Lonchura striata: one gene and its partner. The protein of the gene in region 2 interacts with the protein of the main gene of each other region in a biochemical or structural test. Links are inferred from orthologs where the notes say so. Each region holds a gene or a part of one and is shown on either strand. Other genes may lie near its edges.

The links.
Region 1: the proteins of PLD1 (region 2) and RALA form a complex in vitro, tested with the Homo sapiens proteins (2 studies listed by BioGRID). The link is inferred for Lonchura striata from reciprocal best matches to the Homo sapiens genes PLD1 and RALA.

What each region holds. Positions count from the first base shown.
Region 1 is NC_134603.1:103,340,728-103,348,949, reverse strand, and holds the start of RALA (ras-related protein Ral-A), read right to left. Parts: upstream 3,055-8,222; 5' UTR 2,960-3,054; intron 2,421-2,959; exon of another isoform or gene 2,296-2,420; intron 1,868-2,295; exon of another isoform or gene 1,812-1,867; intron 1-1,811. UniProt on the Homo sapiens protein: Multifunctional GTPase involved in a variety of cellular processes including gene expression, cell migration, cell proliferation, oncogenic transformation and membrane trafficking.
Region 2 is NC_134612.1:22,659,652-22,666,775, reverse strand, and holds the start of PLD1 (phospholipase D1), read right to left. Parts: upstream 3,255-7,124; 5' UTR 3,087-3,254; intron 1-3,086. UniProt on the Homo sapiens protein: Function as phospholipase selective for phosphatidylcholine. Implicated as a critical step in numerous cellular pathways, including signal transduction, membrane trafficking, and the regulation of mitosis.

The DNA of each region.
Region 1 (8,222 bases), on a different chromosome or scaffold from region 2:
GTAACAATTGCTTCCCTACTTAGCAATATAAATATTTTGCAGAACATTTAGTGGACAAACATAATACCAACTGCTCTATTTACTTGGTTCCTCACATAAATTCTTCCTAAGGTAGAAAGGAGGCTTAACACAGTTGTCCTGTAATTGTGCGTTTGAGGCAGGCAGGCTACAGTATGTTCACAAGAATGCTGTCACTAGCCTACTAAACTACCTTGTTCACATAAAACAGATTTCAATTTAGATGCAAAGTAATTTCTGTAGCTTGGAGCCATTAGAAGTTTACTGGAAGCTGGCTATAAGCACTTTCAAGGGGGTGGGGAGTTCCCTATCTAGAAGACATGTTATCAACCACTGATTCCCAGGACTTCTATATCCTACAGTACTCCCTAGGATGGCAAAGCAACCAAATCTTATCACAAAGTTAAAAGATTTTTCTCATATAATTATTTCTTCTTCATATATAAAACTGCAGCAAAAATAATGCTGTTTTCAGTTGGCTGAAATGCAGTGCCTAAACAACTTTTCACACAAGACACTGTACCTACAGTATCCTTTGGTATCAGAGACTGCCATATATCAGTTTCTAAGTTATCTGCATTTTTTTGCCTTGGCAATTATCTTCATCCAAGTCAGATACACTTGAAAGTTAACAGGAGCAAAACCACTTCTTAGATGGAACATCTTTGTTTCGGGGTAATCCCTCAGAAAAAGTAGAAACAGGGATGTCAGTGCATGCCTTAGTAACTGAGGTTAAGAACACAACTGTTTTTATGAGAACTAGAAGTCAGTCTGAACACAGAAGACACATGGACCACTGCAAGATCTCCAGCCACACTTATTTAACAGTCTTGTGCTCTTCCTTGGTCACCTTTATCCAGCACTGCCTTATCCTCACAGCCACAACTCTCCTTACCCCACCTCCCCACGCCCATCCCTTTCCCCTCAATAGCCTACTGTTTCTATGGGCTATTTATCTAAAGAGTACGTGACCACAGGTGACAGACATTACAAAGAATGCACAGCTAGGGAACATTCCAGTTTTCAGTTTCATGGCTAAAGATTCGTTAAGGACAAAAAAAAAAAAAAAAAACCAAAAAAAACCCCACAGCATTATCACAACAATGTCAAAGAACACACAACTCAAAATACTTCACCTTAGGATGTTTGTAATCTTTCCCTTACTCAAATTCAAAAGAGCACTAAAAAGCAAAGACCAAGATCAAGGAATTTGCAATAGTTGAGTAGTACACTCACTATCCAGCAACACAGCTTATTTAACCTCATAGTTAACCCCTCATGCAGTGGACTGAAAGCTTTTTTTGATATTTTTGTGCAACATTATGTCACGTTCTCCTATTTCTACAGAAAAGAATAAAGAGTAAACAGGACTTCTCAAATTTCCACCATTTGGAGGCTGCCACAAAAAATGTTTGACAAACTGTAATGCAAACACAGACTGAAGGATTTATATTTACACCAGAGATCGACATATCAAACAGTTGTTCTTCACTCTATTAAGAATGCTCACAGTTTCCCAGGACTTAAATGTTGAGGTACATGCTATTAGATTAACAAGTCAGCCAAAAAGAAGTGGATTTAAAATTAAAAATCCAGTTATAATCACTACTGATTACCCTGAAAACTAACAGAAGAGCAGGATCTTCTCCTAGTGCAGCCCCTCTCTCAGGCTTGCCTTTCTTTTCAGTTTAACTTTCAGTGGAAAGGACAAAGAACAACCGATAGGTTATGGAGAGATCTGAACATAAAACTGTATGTGAACTGAAATGCCAGCAGAGGCACATACTGCTTACACTTCCGGACGTATAATGTTTTGCAGTGCAGAATGCAAGTCTCTTTCAAATAAGAGCTGGAAATGAAAGCACAAAACAAAACATCAGGGTCCTTTTGAGTCTGAAAAAAAAAACCATTTTGACAAGCTTTCTGCCACGACGGTTTGGGGATGCTGCAAAACAAACACACAGATCGCTCCTCAGGTGGCTCTTGGGATACGTATGGCCCACTTAACATTTTCATTTTAAAGACTCAATTAAGAAGGAGCTGAAGCTATTGACTTCCCCTTAAAAGAAACCTAAAAGCAAACACCAAATCTCTTACCTAACCAAATACGTGAGCATCGAAAGGCTCTTTCATTTGGGGAACTTAAAAGTATACTTCGCACTTCTCCCTTGTGTTACAAGCAAACACAAGATCTAGTTATTACCAGTAACTACAGAAAAGCCCAGCACATGAAAGTGGGCAGCTATTAAATGCTACAGGAGCCCTGTTCTTACTCACCCTAGAACCGCAGCGCCCACATACACGCGCAGGGTCTCCGGCACCCGGCCGGAGCAGGAATCGCCGCCGCAGCAGCCGCTCGGTCCCGCCGGGCCGGTGGGCGAGCACCCCGACCCCCTTCCCCGCGGCCCCGGGCGCGGCCCTTTGTTCGGGGCGCCGCCGCGCCGCGCCCCACCCTGCGCAGGTACGGGCGGCGCCCGCCGCCGCCCGCGGCCCCGGGACGCCGCCCCCGGCCCCGCCGCAACAGGCGGCCGGAGCCCGGCGCGGCCCCGCCGCCCCCTGCCCGCTGTTCCCGCGCCCGGGCGGGCCGCGAACGCAGGTGGCCAAGGTCGCCGCCCGTAACCTTCAGGGAGCGGTCACCAGGCCCCCGGCAGGAGGCTCGGGGCGCCGCCCGCCCGTCCCCACACGCCGGGGTGGGGCCGGCAGGCGTACCCCGCCGGCCAGGGACGGCGAGGCGGCGGCCGCACCCCGACACCGATTCCCGGGCGGCGCAGAGCGGCGGGCGCGGAGCCGCCGGAAGCCCCCGCCCGCGCCGCACGGCAGCTTCCCCCACACCGGAGAGCTCCCGAGGCGCGGGCGGAGCCGGGTCCTCGGGCTCCCCCCGGCCCCAGCCCTGGCGGCTCCGCCCGGCGCGGCCCGGCCCGGCCGCGCGCCCCCGTCTCACCTGCGGCGGCGGTGCCGGCGGCGCCCGAGGAGCGCGCGGGGAGGGGCGGAGCGCGCGAGGTGAGGCCCTGGCGCCGCCCCCGCGCGCACGGCCGGCGGCGCGCGCGGCCCGGGGCGGAGGGCGGGCGCGGCCGGGGCGGGGCGGGGCGGGGAGCGCCGCCGCAGGGGCCGCAGCGTCGTCACCGGGTGCGGCCCCGCCGCCCCCGCCCCGCGGGCGGAGCGCCGTGTCAGGCGCCGAGGCGCGCAGGCGCGGGGCGGGCCAAGGAGGAGCGGGGCGGCGCGGCCGGACCCGGTTCCCGGAAGGGGGCGGCCGCTTCCGTCCGCGGCGCGAGCGGGGCCGGGCCCGGCGGGGCGCGGCGGGGGCGGGTAACGGGCGGGACGCGGCCGGCGCCTTCCCGGGGCGCGTCGTTCCGCCGGGGAGTCGTGTCCCGCTTCTCCCACGGCGCCGTAACTCCGAGCCTCAAACGGCAGCTGCTTTCCTTCCTGCACCTCCTCCTTTGTTTCAGCCGAAACTTAAGGGAGATAGATAGTGAGAAAGCATTGTAGCTCGATGTCTGTCCCTCCTTCTTCCCAGCTAATCCCTCATCTGGAGAATAGAGGAGGCGTGTCCTGCCATGGTAAGGAGATAAATTCCCGACATCTGTCGCTAGGTTTATAAACACAATTATTTTTAGTGGAGCATTCCTCAGGACAGAAGTGTAAGCTGGGACAACATTTAATATACTGAGTTTAAGGAAAATGATCACTGGCAGAAGGGAACATGAAGCGGTGAGGCTCTTAAGAGAGTTTTGCTTTTTTTTTTTTTAATTTCTTTTTTATAGTAATGGACCACTCCATGTATGGAGGATTTTACAGATGCCAAAAAGAATGGGGAGATAAGATCTTTTCCATGTTAATTACAATCATTCAAATAATAACAGCAAGAGTGCCTTAATAACTGTATCTTTTACTCCTAAATTGTGGACACACAGAGGAGCTTTGCCCAAACACAACATGATTTAAACTCATGATGTAAGTGATGTAATGAAAGCTAAGCATAATATGCATATAACAAAACTGACTGCTCAGTGTGTGTCTTTGGTTTTCACACTATAACCACGCACAGACAATACTAATTGTTTTGAAGCATCCGCTCACCCACATAAGTGTTTGGCTGAAGGTAGTTTCCAAGTCTGGAAATTCCAGATTTTATCACCTCAGATGAAAACTTTGACCTTGGTATTCACCTCATGGAACGTGCGCTTTGCTTGCAAAGCAGGTGCACGTTAAAATTTTCATTGTTCTCTGTGATGGTTTCTGAAATTTTTGACAACTTGACATTTTGACATAATTTAGCCAGTGTTCAGTCCATATTCCTCTGGAATTTCGTTTTGTTGGCCTCACATTTCATTATGAGCTAATTTTTGCAAATTCCTGAGAGTTTGATAAACTGATAGCAATCCAGATGCAATTAATTCTGATTAAAATATCTAAATACATCCATTTACACAGAGAAAGGTTGGATTCTCTTAAATGGAGAGGGCAGGGAAAAAAAGGAGGAGAAGAAAGGAAAGCTAGTAACACTGAGTCAACCAAACATTGAAAATAAAACATTTTTGATATTTCATGAAAGGGAAAATTTTCATAGTATATGTCATAAGACTTTTCATGAGACCATGAAAAGACTGAAAGAGTCTCTGCATGATCCTGTACAAATAATGATTCAGGAGTCCTCAAGAAATCCTGGCCCAACTTCTGCAGCCTTTTGAGTATCTCTGTGCTGTATAACTTTTTAATACTTATTCCAGAACACTTCTGTTGCAAAAGAGTGGGTTAGTCTTAGTTAAGGTCTCATTAATACTGATGTCTGCAGCCGTTCAGTACTTCCTTATTCCTGCAATACTAGAGCTAGTCCAAAATAACCTTTGTCCTGTAAGACACACAGTGTACTTACCCAGATGTTGGTAGCAGCTGTTTCACTCTCTGAAAATGTCCCTTTGCATAAAATGGTTTGGGTTGGAAGAGACCCTAAAGATCATCTAATATCAAATCCCCTGTCAAGGGCAAGATGACATCCACTAGACCATGTTGCTCAGTGCCCCATCTAGGCTGGCCTTTAACACTTTCAGGGATGGGGTGTCTGCAGTATCTCTGGGCAACCTATTCCAGTGCCTCACCACTCTCAAAATAAAGAATTTCTTCCTAAGATCTAATCTAAATCTAATTTTTTAGTTTATAACCATTTCCCCCTTGTCCTATCACTAATATGCCCATGTAAGACATTGCTCTTTTTACCCTTTAGGTACTGGAAGGCCTCAATGAGCTCTTGCCAGAACCTTCTCTTCTCCAGGCTGAGCAACCTGAGCTCTCTCAGCCTTTGTAGGAGAGATGGTTCAGTCCTCTGACCATTTTTGTGGCCTCTTCTGGACTCTCTATAGCAAGTCCACATCTTTCTTATGCTAAGGACTCCATACCTGGACACAGCACTCTACTTCGGGTCCCATAAGGGCAGAGTAGAAGGGGACAATCACGTACCTTAGCCACCCCTCTTTTGATACAAGCCAGGATACCATTTGCCTTCTGGGCTGCAAGTGAACCCTCTTAAGTCCTTCTCAGCTCAGTTGGTCTCAACAAGTTCTTCTCCCAGTCTGAACTCACGTCTGGTATTGCCCTGACCCAGGTGCAGCACTTTGCACCTGGATTTGTTGAACTTGAGGTTCCCATGGGCTCACTTCTCAAGCTTGCCCACCTGAATATGGTCTCTTCTTTCTGTTGAACCAACTGCACCACTCAGCTTCACAGGTCTGGAATCTTGCTGGGGTGCACTCAATCCCACTGACAGTGTCATTGATAAAGGAAGGTATTAAAGAGCCCTGGTACCATGACAGGCCCCTGAGGGACACAGCTCATCACCAGTGTCCACCTGGACATAAAAGTACTTACCACAACTCTGGCTGCATCCACCCAGCCAATTCCTTATCCACTGAATATTCCATCCATCAAATCTGTGTCATCATTTTGGAGATAAGGATGTCATGTGGGACCAGCTTACAGAAGTCTAGGTAGTTGACATCTGTCAGTCTTTGCTTGTTAATTGTTGCTGTCACTCCATTGTGGAAGGCCACCAGATGGGTCAGGCATGATTTGCCATATTGGCTGTCTTGGATCATCTCCTTGTATTGTATGTGCTTAACATTGTTCCATGAGTGTCTGCTCCACAGTCTTCCCAAGAAGGGGGAGGTCTCTGGTATGTCCTTCCCTGGGTCTTCCTTTCTTCCCTTTTTAAAAATAGGAACGATGTTTCTCTTTTTCCAGTCACTGAGCACTTCACCTGACTGCCAGGGTTTTCCACATATGGGTTGGCAACAACATCAGTTCCCTCAGGACCCTGGGATGCATCTCATCAGGCCCTAATAGACTTGTGGCTATTCAGTTTAATCAGGTGGTCTTGAACCTGCTCTTCATTTTACAGTGGGAGAGATTTCATCCCCATTTTGCACCATGCTGCTTGTTAATGAATGTGGTCTTTGTCCTTTTAATCTCTCTTTAGAGCTATCTTAAAAAAAAAAAAAATACAACCTTATTTTGAATTTCTGTTTTGTGGCCCAAAGTGCATGTTGTAATGCAATAAAAAACAGTTTATAGTATACCTTTCATTTTTTGCTTGGATCTGTCCCCTGGCATCTTACCCAAACCAAGTGGAAAAAAAATGAGCTCTTTAACCCAAAACTAAAAGACGTATTTCCATGAAAATGCACTACATTAATAATTCCTATTCAATTTCTAACAAGTGACTGTAGCAAGAGCATCTCTGGAGCACCTGGTATATTTTATGGCATGACTCTGGCTCCTCTGTGTAAGAGAGCAACTGGTCAGAGGAAAGTAGGTATTGCAACTATTTCTTTGTCTGTACAGGAACCTAGGGTCCACAGCCCAAGGCAACAAGAGGTTTAAATTACTCTCTGGTGTTCAAATGCTACAATAGGTACCTAAAACCATACAGGTTTTACCATACAGGTAGTTTAGTAGACATTTGCAATGTGGCTATAAAGCGTGCAGGTAATGAATGAAACCATACAGGTAGTGTAGTAGATATTTGCAATGTGGCTAGGAAGGGTGTAGGTAATGAATGTCCTTTGTTATGTATTAGCATCTGTGCCATTACAGCTCTGCACATAAAATTCTTGAAAGGAAAAAAATGTGAAGAATAATTAGGTAGAGATGTAATTAATTGTGTCCTAGTAGTACTTGCATTATGTACCTTAATACAACTAAGAAATCAACTGACAAATATTTCATTTATTTTAAAAAGCCAAAGCTACAGTGGACATGTCAGACAAAACATGTCTGAAACTTAGGGAAAAACATTGATGTGCAACTTCCATTCCCACAGCGCAAAAAGTACTTGTTCCCTTTAGTGCACATTTAGTAGCACACAATTTATATTTAAAGTATGCATAATTTAGCACTGTAATTTTATCTTAGATTTCTGTTGACATGAATAAATGAACCACATTCTTTGGAAAACCATCTTATCATGCATAAAACATCCATTCTTCCTTCAAGTGCTCAATAAATCTTCCAGGGTGAGAGAGACTTAATTTTTTGAAGGGACAAAAGAGTAAATGAACAAAACCACCTACTGGTTCTTGAGGGCACCCTCCTATTTCAGCCCTTTCTGCCCAGAATTGATTACTGTGGCATCTGCTGGGTTTGTGGGTGTGTGAGCCTTTGTGTTATGAAGTACTGCTGAACTGAAATCAATACATGGAGGTAAGGTTTCCTGGTATTTATGGTTAATTTCTTCTCTTTTACGCTGATGGCAGAACTGTATTAAAATTTATTAGACAACACTTTATTACCAGTGTGTAAGGATGGATAAAATGTATTTGTGAATTAATGGAGTTTCTCAGTAGCAGGCCAGTTGAAAAGAAATCACCCAGCCCAAATCCACATGTATTCTGAGCAGAATCAACCTCCCCATTAAAATGAAAGAGCTTGAAGCTTTTACCCACCTTCAGTTTGTACCAGAAGTAACAATGAGTGAAGAACATGCTAAACAATCACTTGCCTAATTATTAACATACTCATACTTCTCAAGTTTGTAACTTCATGTTTTTTTCTGTGCTTTTGTGTAAGTAATAACTAGGCTTCAAGGACATACTACTCTTGAGGTATATAACTGGCTAGCCTAAGGGCAGATTTGGGATGTGGCTCCCACTTTACATAACAGAGAGTGATGGCTGCCTTGAGGCAGTGGGCATCTGCTGGTTGTGGGGGTGGTC
Region 2 (7,124 bases):
AAAAACTTATTTATAGATCTAAACCAAAAAATTGAATTGACACTATATTGATAGATATATATATATCTATCTCTATCCTGCAGCTCAGCAGAGCTGAAGTCTGGCTCTGCATAGGTGGGTGCAGAGAAGCAAGGCTGCACACAAGCTGCCCACACATCCCACCTCTCAGAAGCACAGCAAGCAGTACCTAAATATGGACTGAAAAAGACCTTATTTTGGAAAAAAAAAAAAATCCAAATAAAGGCTGGCCAAGGGTTTGTGAAGGGAAATAAAAAAAGACAGAGCCACAACTCCTCTCAGGCAAATGATCATGGACCAAATCTCAGTCCCTGCAGGAGCTTCCCAGGGTACAGGACATGTGAGAGCAAGTTAAAAACACATCATCAAATAACTGCCAGTCAGACAATAGAAGGAAAAGGCATGTAAAGGGTTGCTCTCACCCTCCTCCTTCCTCACCCTTAGCCAACACCAGGTGCTGACATCAGACACTCCAGAAGAAAATCAAATTGCTTTTTCTGCTCTGTTATAAACAAATTTAGGGCCACTAGCCAATTCTGATTCTCACTAAAGCTTTATTATTATTTTAAATTACTTACTGCAAAATAACTGTTCCAACATGAAATTAAGGAACCACCTGGTTGCAGCAAAGGCATCAGAAAGGTGCTGCTCCTCATGGACCACGATGGCTTCCTGCAAGACTCCAGCAATTTCCCCTTTGATGTATTCACAGGGCACAAACAGAGAGAAGATAAACTAGAAGCTTCTATCTTATATCAGTAACTGATATCTTCCTTCTTATGCCATTTCAAGGAATAACACTTGTGGTAATGCCAGCATTTAAGTGCATTCCCCTGAAATTTCTTTCCCTGAAGGTTTGATAACCTGCTTTAAATCAATTTTCAGAGAAGAAATAACTGTAAAACCCAAGTTCAGCTGGCTGAAATTTCACTTAATCATGTAAGAGATTTCTCAAATCACTGCTGGAGATAAAACCCACTCCTTTAGAACACCTTTCCTCCACCACAAAAGAGCACTTCCTAATTTACAGGAATAACAATGTCAAAATGACACCACCTTTTACACTTTGTTACTATTTAGAGTAATAAAAATTTTAGGAGAAACACAAGATTGCAGACTACTTTATGAAAGAGTAATTTCACCAGCAATGATCACCTACCTAGTACTTATAATTTCATTCACACACGTGAAACAGCATCTTCAGCAGTTCAAAGAATGTGCAATTCTGATACCAGCACACTCTTTCTCAGCTGCAAGAGCTCAGGAGACACCTGTCAACAATAGCATTTTCTGTGGTAGGAGTTCAAGCCTCTCAAAATAAGAAGAGCATCATGGCCTCCAGGAAAAGTGAATTTATTAAGTGTTTTCCACGAAGATCAGAGCCTCAACACTAATTTTCAATAATCCTGAAAAGGATGATGTTATATGTATCAAGACAAAACTAAAACGCAAATGAGTACGTAAGTGAACCCCTTCAATCTTCTCAAGTTAGGAAAGTTAAATCTTGGCAAAACCAAATTCAATCACACTACCTCTCAAACTTTCATTCAATCAGCTGAAGCAGAGTCTACACCAATCTCTGTAAATTTTAACAGGTCTTTCAAAGGGATCTGACCTTGGCCCCGTCCCACAAGGAGCTCTGACCAAGCCTGGGGCTCGCCTCCTCTCCAGAGGGGAGGGTAGATCCAGGGCTCAGTATCCCAGCCAGCAAACCTGGCACCAAGACGGGTGATGGGGACACTGTGAGATGTCACCCACATACTGCACCCCCAGGCCTGGGAGAGGCCAGACACACTTCCCCACTGCAAAAAAACTGATTTTACAGGCTTAGTGCTACCTGATGGCAGAAGGACAGGAGGAAGGGCCTCCTTCAGCCACAGGCAAGGTCAGGGCAGGTACACAGAGGGGACTGTTGGGGGGAACTCTGCAGCAAACCCCTGAGCCTGGATCAGGGATCCCAGAATCGCTGGGGTGTGCTCAGCATCAGAGGGTAACAGTGACCCTGAGAAAAGGGCTCTCAAGCAGCAAAGGAAGGGGAGCCCACAGACTCAAACTCAGAGCGTTCCAATTTCTGGCTAAGCTGGGCTGGATGTGGCCATGGGACACAAGTCACAGGGCTAACACTCCTGTGAGCATCATGAGGTGGTTGGAAATGAAGTTCCCTGGTTACCTGCGAGCCTCTGGCATGAGCTCACGCTTATCAAATGGTAGAGACAGCACGGGAGGGAAAACAATAATTCCTGAGTGATTAAAGACACTCGAAAGAGAGCTCCCACCCTTCGAGCTGCAAACACAGGCAGCTCGAAACACAACGCCGTACGCAAACAGGGACGCTTTTGTCCCAGCAGCTATGGGCACACCAGCCTCGCCGTGACATCCACACTTACCATCTTCCACCAGTGCCAAATCAGCAGAGCTTCATCCAACCAGTGCAACTGCTGGTGCCTGTCCCCAGCCAGCCTCACTGGAGGCATCGTGCAGATTTACTGAAAGGAGGGATGCGGGGAGGCACTGTCCTTCTGTGTGCAGAGAGCCCCTGGTCAGCCCGGGGAACGCTTCCAAAGCCAGTGGAGCTGCACTAACTTGAACCACGGTCCAGCTCAGACCGCAGGCACCTCGGGGCTGAGATTTCTAGAGAGCATCACGCCAAATAAAGAAAACCAGCAACAGGCAGGAAAGGCTTTCATTGCGAGAAAGCCACCCAGCAGCTCGGCAGAAGGGGTTTTGCCAGCACGTTCGGTAACTCGGGCTTTTCTCATAACCCAAGAACGGCGGGTGCGGAAGGGACGTGGCAGGGTCACATTCAGCAGCGCCGGGGACGCTGAAGTTCAGCGCATCGCCGAGCCCCCAAGCCAGGACCGCACCGACCCAAACCCACCCTTTTCACAGCACGACAAACGCGCGAACCACCCCGAGTGTGTCCGACAGGCGACAAACACCGCTCCGCAGCAAAGCCTGCCCTAGCAAAGAGCCCGGGCAGGGCATTCACTTGCAAACAGACGCCGAAGGCACCGCAGTGCCCCGGGCCGGGCGCCCGCTCCGGCCACCCCGCGGCCGCCCGCACCCACCTCCGGCCCCCGCGGCCGCGGGTGCCCCATGGTGCCCTCAGAGCCAGCCGGGTGCCCGCAGAGCCAGCCGGGTGCCCTCAGAGCCAGCCGGGTACCCTCTCGCGGGGCACCAGCAGCCGGTGAAGCCGCCCGAAGAGCTGCCCTGCAGCGGCCCCGCCCGCCGGGCGCCGGGCCCGCCCCGCGCCCGCCTCCGCTGAGGGCAGCGCGGCCACTCCCGGGAGCGGGACACGGCCCAGGGGAGGGACGGGCAGCCGCCCGCCCCGGCTGGCCGTGAGGGGACGCGGGGGGCGCAGAGTGAGCCGAAGAGGAGTAACTCGATTGTTTCAGCCCAACTTTGCGGCGTGCGGAGGGGATCTGAGGCTCCTGCGCGCTCCGAGCGCCGCTCCCACAGGGAGCGCGGTTCTCCGCTCCGTGCCCGGACGCTCCAGGAGGGAGAAGCCAAGGTTCTCCACCGTCACCGGGAAACTGCGTTTGGCCAGGGAAACAGATTGAAAAAGCCTGTGCAAATTAACAATTATTAATTGCACATGCGATGCTTTTTTTTTAGCGTAAGACAACCCAATAATTACAGTCCGGTGCTGTTTGGATCCTAGCTGTCCTCCCCTACACATGTTGCATTTACCATGTTACTTCCCGTATGCCCTTTTTAATATGCAAGGATTGGATTTTTTTAGCGAGAGAGAAAATGTTTGTGCTTGAAGAAGCATTGAACTGACATGCAGATAAGCAAAATCCCCAGCAGGTTCCAGCTATAACCCAGCCCTGAGTGCTGGTGAAACGCCCCAAAATTTGTCTGCAGCACTGCAGCTCTCACTGCTGTGCCTGTACAGGGAGATCTTGGCGATTTCTTCCAGCGAACTCAGTGATTCCACTTCTATATCTACAGCAAGACTTCAACATGGTTATTAGGATATTTTTCTTCCTTAAATGATTTTAATTTTTATTTCTTCAAATCATGGAAAACTGAACCACAGTCATCCAATGTAGGTAAGATAAATAACCTAACTTTGATGAATGCTGGTTCAGAGGCAGCCTCTGTCCCCTACTCTGGCAGTTCAATATTGAAGCATTACATTCTCCACCAGAGCAGCCCCTGCCTTGTTTATGAGCACACCTGTAACACACTGGCTCAGCTCGTTTACACTGGATTTACTGTGACTTGGTTACCAACACCTTAACAAAACCAGCGTGATACACGTCACACCTCAAATCAAATTTACAAATCTAAGGTGGGTTCCCAATAGCATTGCAACACGGCTTCCTTCAGCTCGTGGGGCTGGGCTCACACACTGCCCTGTTCGGCATTGGAGAGCTGTGAGCCAAGGTGGCTCAGCAGTGCTGGCTGCACTGAGCACAGAAAAAGTCAGCACAGACATTTGTGGCACTCAGTGTCAGGAGAGAGCAAAGCAAGAGAGGAAGCTGGGGTGGAACACTGCAAGGCAATGGGAAATACTCAAAATTGCCCAATATCACTGCCATTTCCACCCCAAAGAGTGGGCAGAGCCATTGTTCCAGACAGGCACGTTACCCACACTGCAGAGAAGTTTCATGCTAAACATATGGAATGGGAATGAGTGGAGATACGACACGGGGAGCATCCCTCAGGGCTCCCTCCTGCCCAAGATGCCAAATCTCTGCCATCCTCCCTGGGCACACCTCTGTAAATCCCCCAGTTCCCTGGGACAGGAGGACAGCAGGCTGCAGAGGATCCCTGCCACCTCCCATTTCTGCACAGCTCTCCATGTGTGTTGATGCAGAGCAGGGATATATCAGACACAGAGAAACACAATTTTCTCTGCAGACAAACCCCTTCTCTCCTGCCCAGAGTTCATTTCAGTGCTCTTCCCCTATGCAACTAGCTGATTTCTGGCAAATCTTTCCAAATCCATAAACCTTAACTCACCTAATGTGTATTTAATCTCCTTGCTATAGGTTTATGTTGGCAGTGAACAGGGCTAGACCAGTAGCAGAAGACAGCAGGCAGTGTAGGTGAGCATTTTACCCTCTACTTTGCACAATTCCCCCTCTGCAGCACCACAGCAGAGCAGAAGCACCACTGTCTGTGCCCATGTCCCATTAGTGGCTTTCTACACTTCCCAGAACCTTCTTTGTCCCAGAGGCAATTCATGAAATGGATTCTTGGCACATACCCTCAAAAAAATCTTGAGCTCTGAGAGGCACAGTATTATCTGTTGGGAGTTTCTTTGGTTCTCTCCCAGCTGCTTTTCATTCTTCAGGAACTTCCACACATCCCTCAGAGGATGCTTAGTGTCATCACAAGGGTGTGAAGTTTTCTTATTTAAGGTAAGACTCTGGTGCAAAGAGTGCTCTGAGTGACAGTCAGGGATTGAGGCTGCTGCAGTCTGTAAAACCAAGGTGCTAATATTAGCAATCTTTATTTTATTGTTATTATTTAGTTGTACTTAATTTTTTTTCCTTCTCTCTAAAAATTTTCACTTCCATGCCCAATGAGGTAGCCAAAAGTGCCATGTAAAGACATCTGCAGAAGGGCTCTTGACAAACTAAAGCCTATGCTGCTGCACACCAAACCAAATCCACCAGCTGAAAGATAATGCAGTAAAAAAACCTTGGAAAATAAGGACATTATCTTCAATCTCGGTCACCACTTGACATCACAACACAGGGAGAAGGGGGAGGACCAGAGAGCTGCAGGACACTAGAGAAATGCCAAACAAGAAAAGGCTTTATGTGGGGAAAAAAAAGGGGAAAAAATAAATGCCAGACTAAGAGCAGGCTGGAGTGAACATGTGACAGCACAAAGAAGTGTCACCTTCTCCAAACCTCTCAAACCATTTTTTCACAACCTGAAAAATACTCTCTCCTTCCTCTGTGCCAAAAAGCAGTTTTGCCAAGATGTTGGAGTGCAGGAAGGATCTCAGCAGAGCCACATCAGGAATCTGTCTGACATGTTGAACACAGGTGACACCTAAACAGAGGGTTTTACCCATAGAGATTTTTACCACCCCTTTGCTTTTCCTTTGTTAAATTAGCCCAGCTACACCAGTACAAACTCCAGCCCTCTGTTATTCACAGTGTCACCAAAAATGGGCTATTCCCCTGCCCAATGCTCCTGATACTGTCCACAGCAATCCACACATCAAAAATGGAAAAATAAAAAAAATCAAATGCCAGGGTGAGCCTGGAGTGTCTTTCATGCCTGCAGGCATTGAAAGGGCCTTTTTCCTCCTTATAGTTCCCCTTTAGCCAGGCAGGGGCTCCCTGAAACCAAGTGTGGATCATGTTGGTGCCTCTGCAAAGCAGTGGGGGTCAGAGGGAAACCAGGGGAAAAAAATAAATAATTGTTTCTCCTGTAGTTGGGTCACATTTGGGAAGGAACCTGCAGAGCCCCAGGAGAGGGAGGAATCAGCTCTATCATCCTTGGTGGGATGATGGTTTACTTTGGCTGTGTGTAAAGCCAGGCTCCAGCTTGGGACACCACCGTGCCTCCTGCTCCTGCACCCTGTCCCCAACCTCTGCTGAAGATGTCCTGTCTACAGAGCAAAGGTTTTTGTGCCCCACAGCACAGGGCCTCTGCAGCTCCTTAAGACAAAAAGGATATTTTACCCTGTATCCCAGAGTGTCACCTCACTAGGGACTGGAAATGCGTTTCGCTGTCGCCATTTCAGAGAGTGTGCACCAGACATTCCAGAAAAACCCTGTGGATCCACACTGAGGCAGCCACTGGTGACACTGCCAAGGATGGAGCAACCCAAGACAACCCAAAGTGAGCCAGCTGGCATGCACAAAAAAATTTAAATTATTATTGTTTTGTCCCATAAGACCAGTATTCCAAAAGGAAAAGGCAGGGTTGCTTGTAGAAATCACATTGTCAAGTACTTTTTTTTCCTCCTCTTCCTTTCAAGGACCACCATTGTCCTCCTAACTCTGAGGGCACAGTCAGGGGAGGAAGTTTTGTTTAAAGGCACTTCAGTATCAAGTGCCTGACTGGACCACGGGGCCTCCTGGGAGTTGTAGTCTTATCTTCTCCCATAAAAACTGCTTTTTCTGGCATAATTC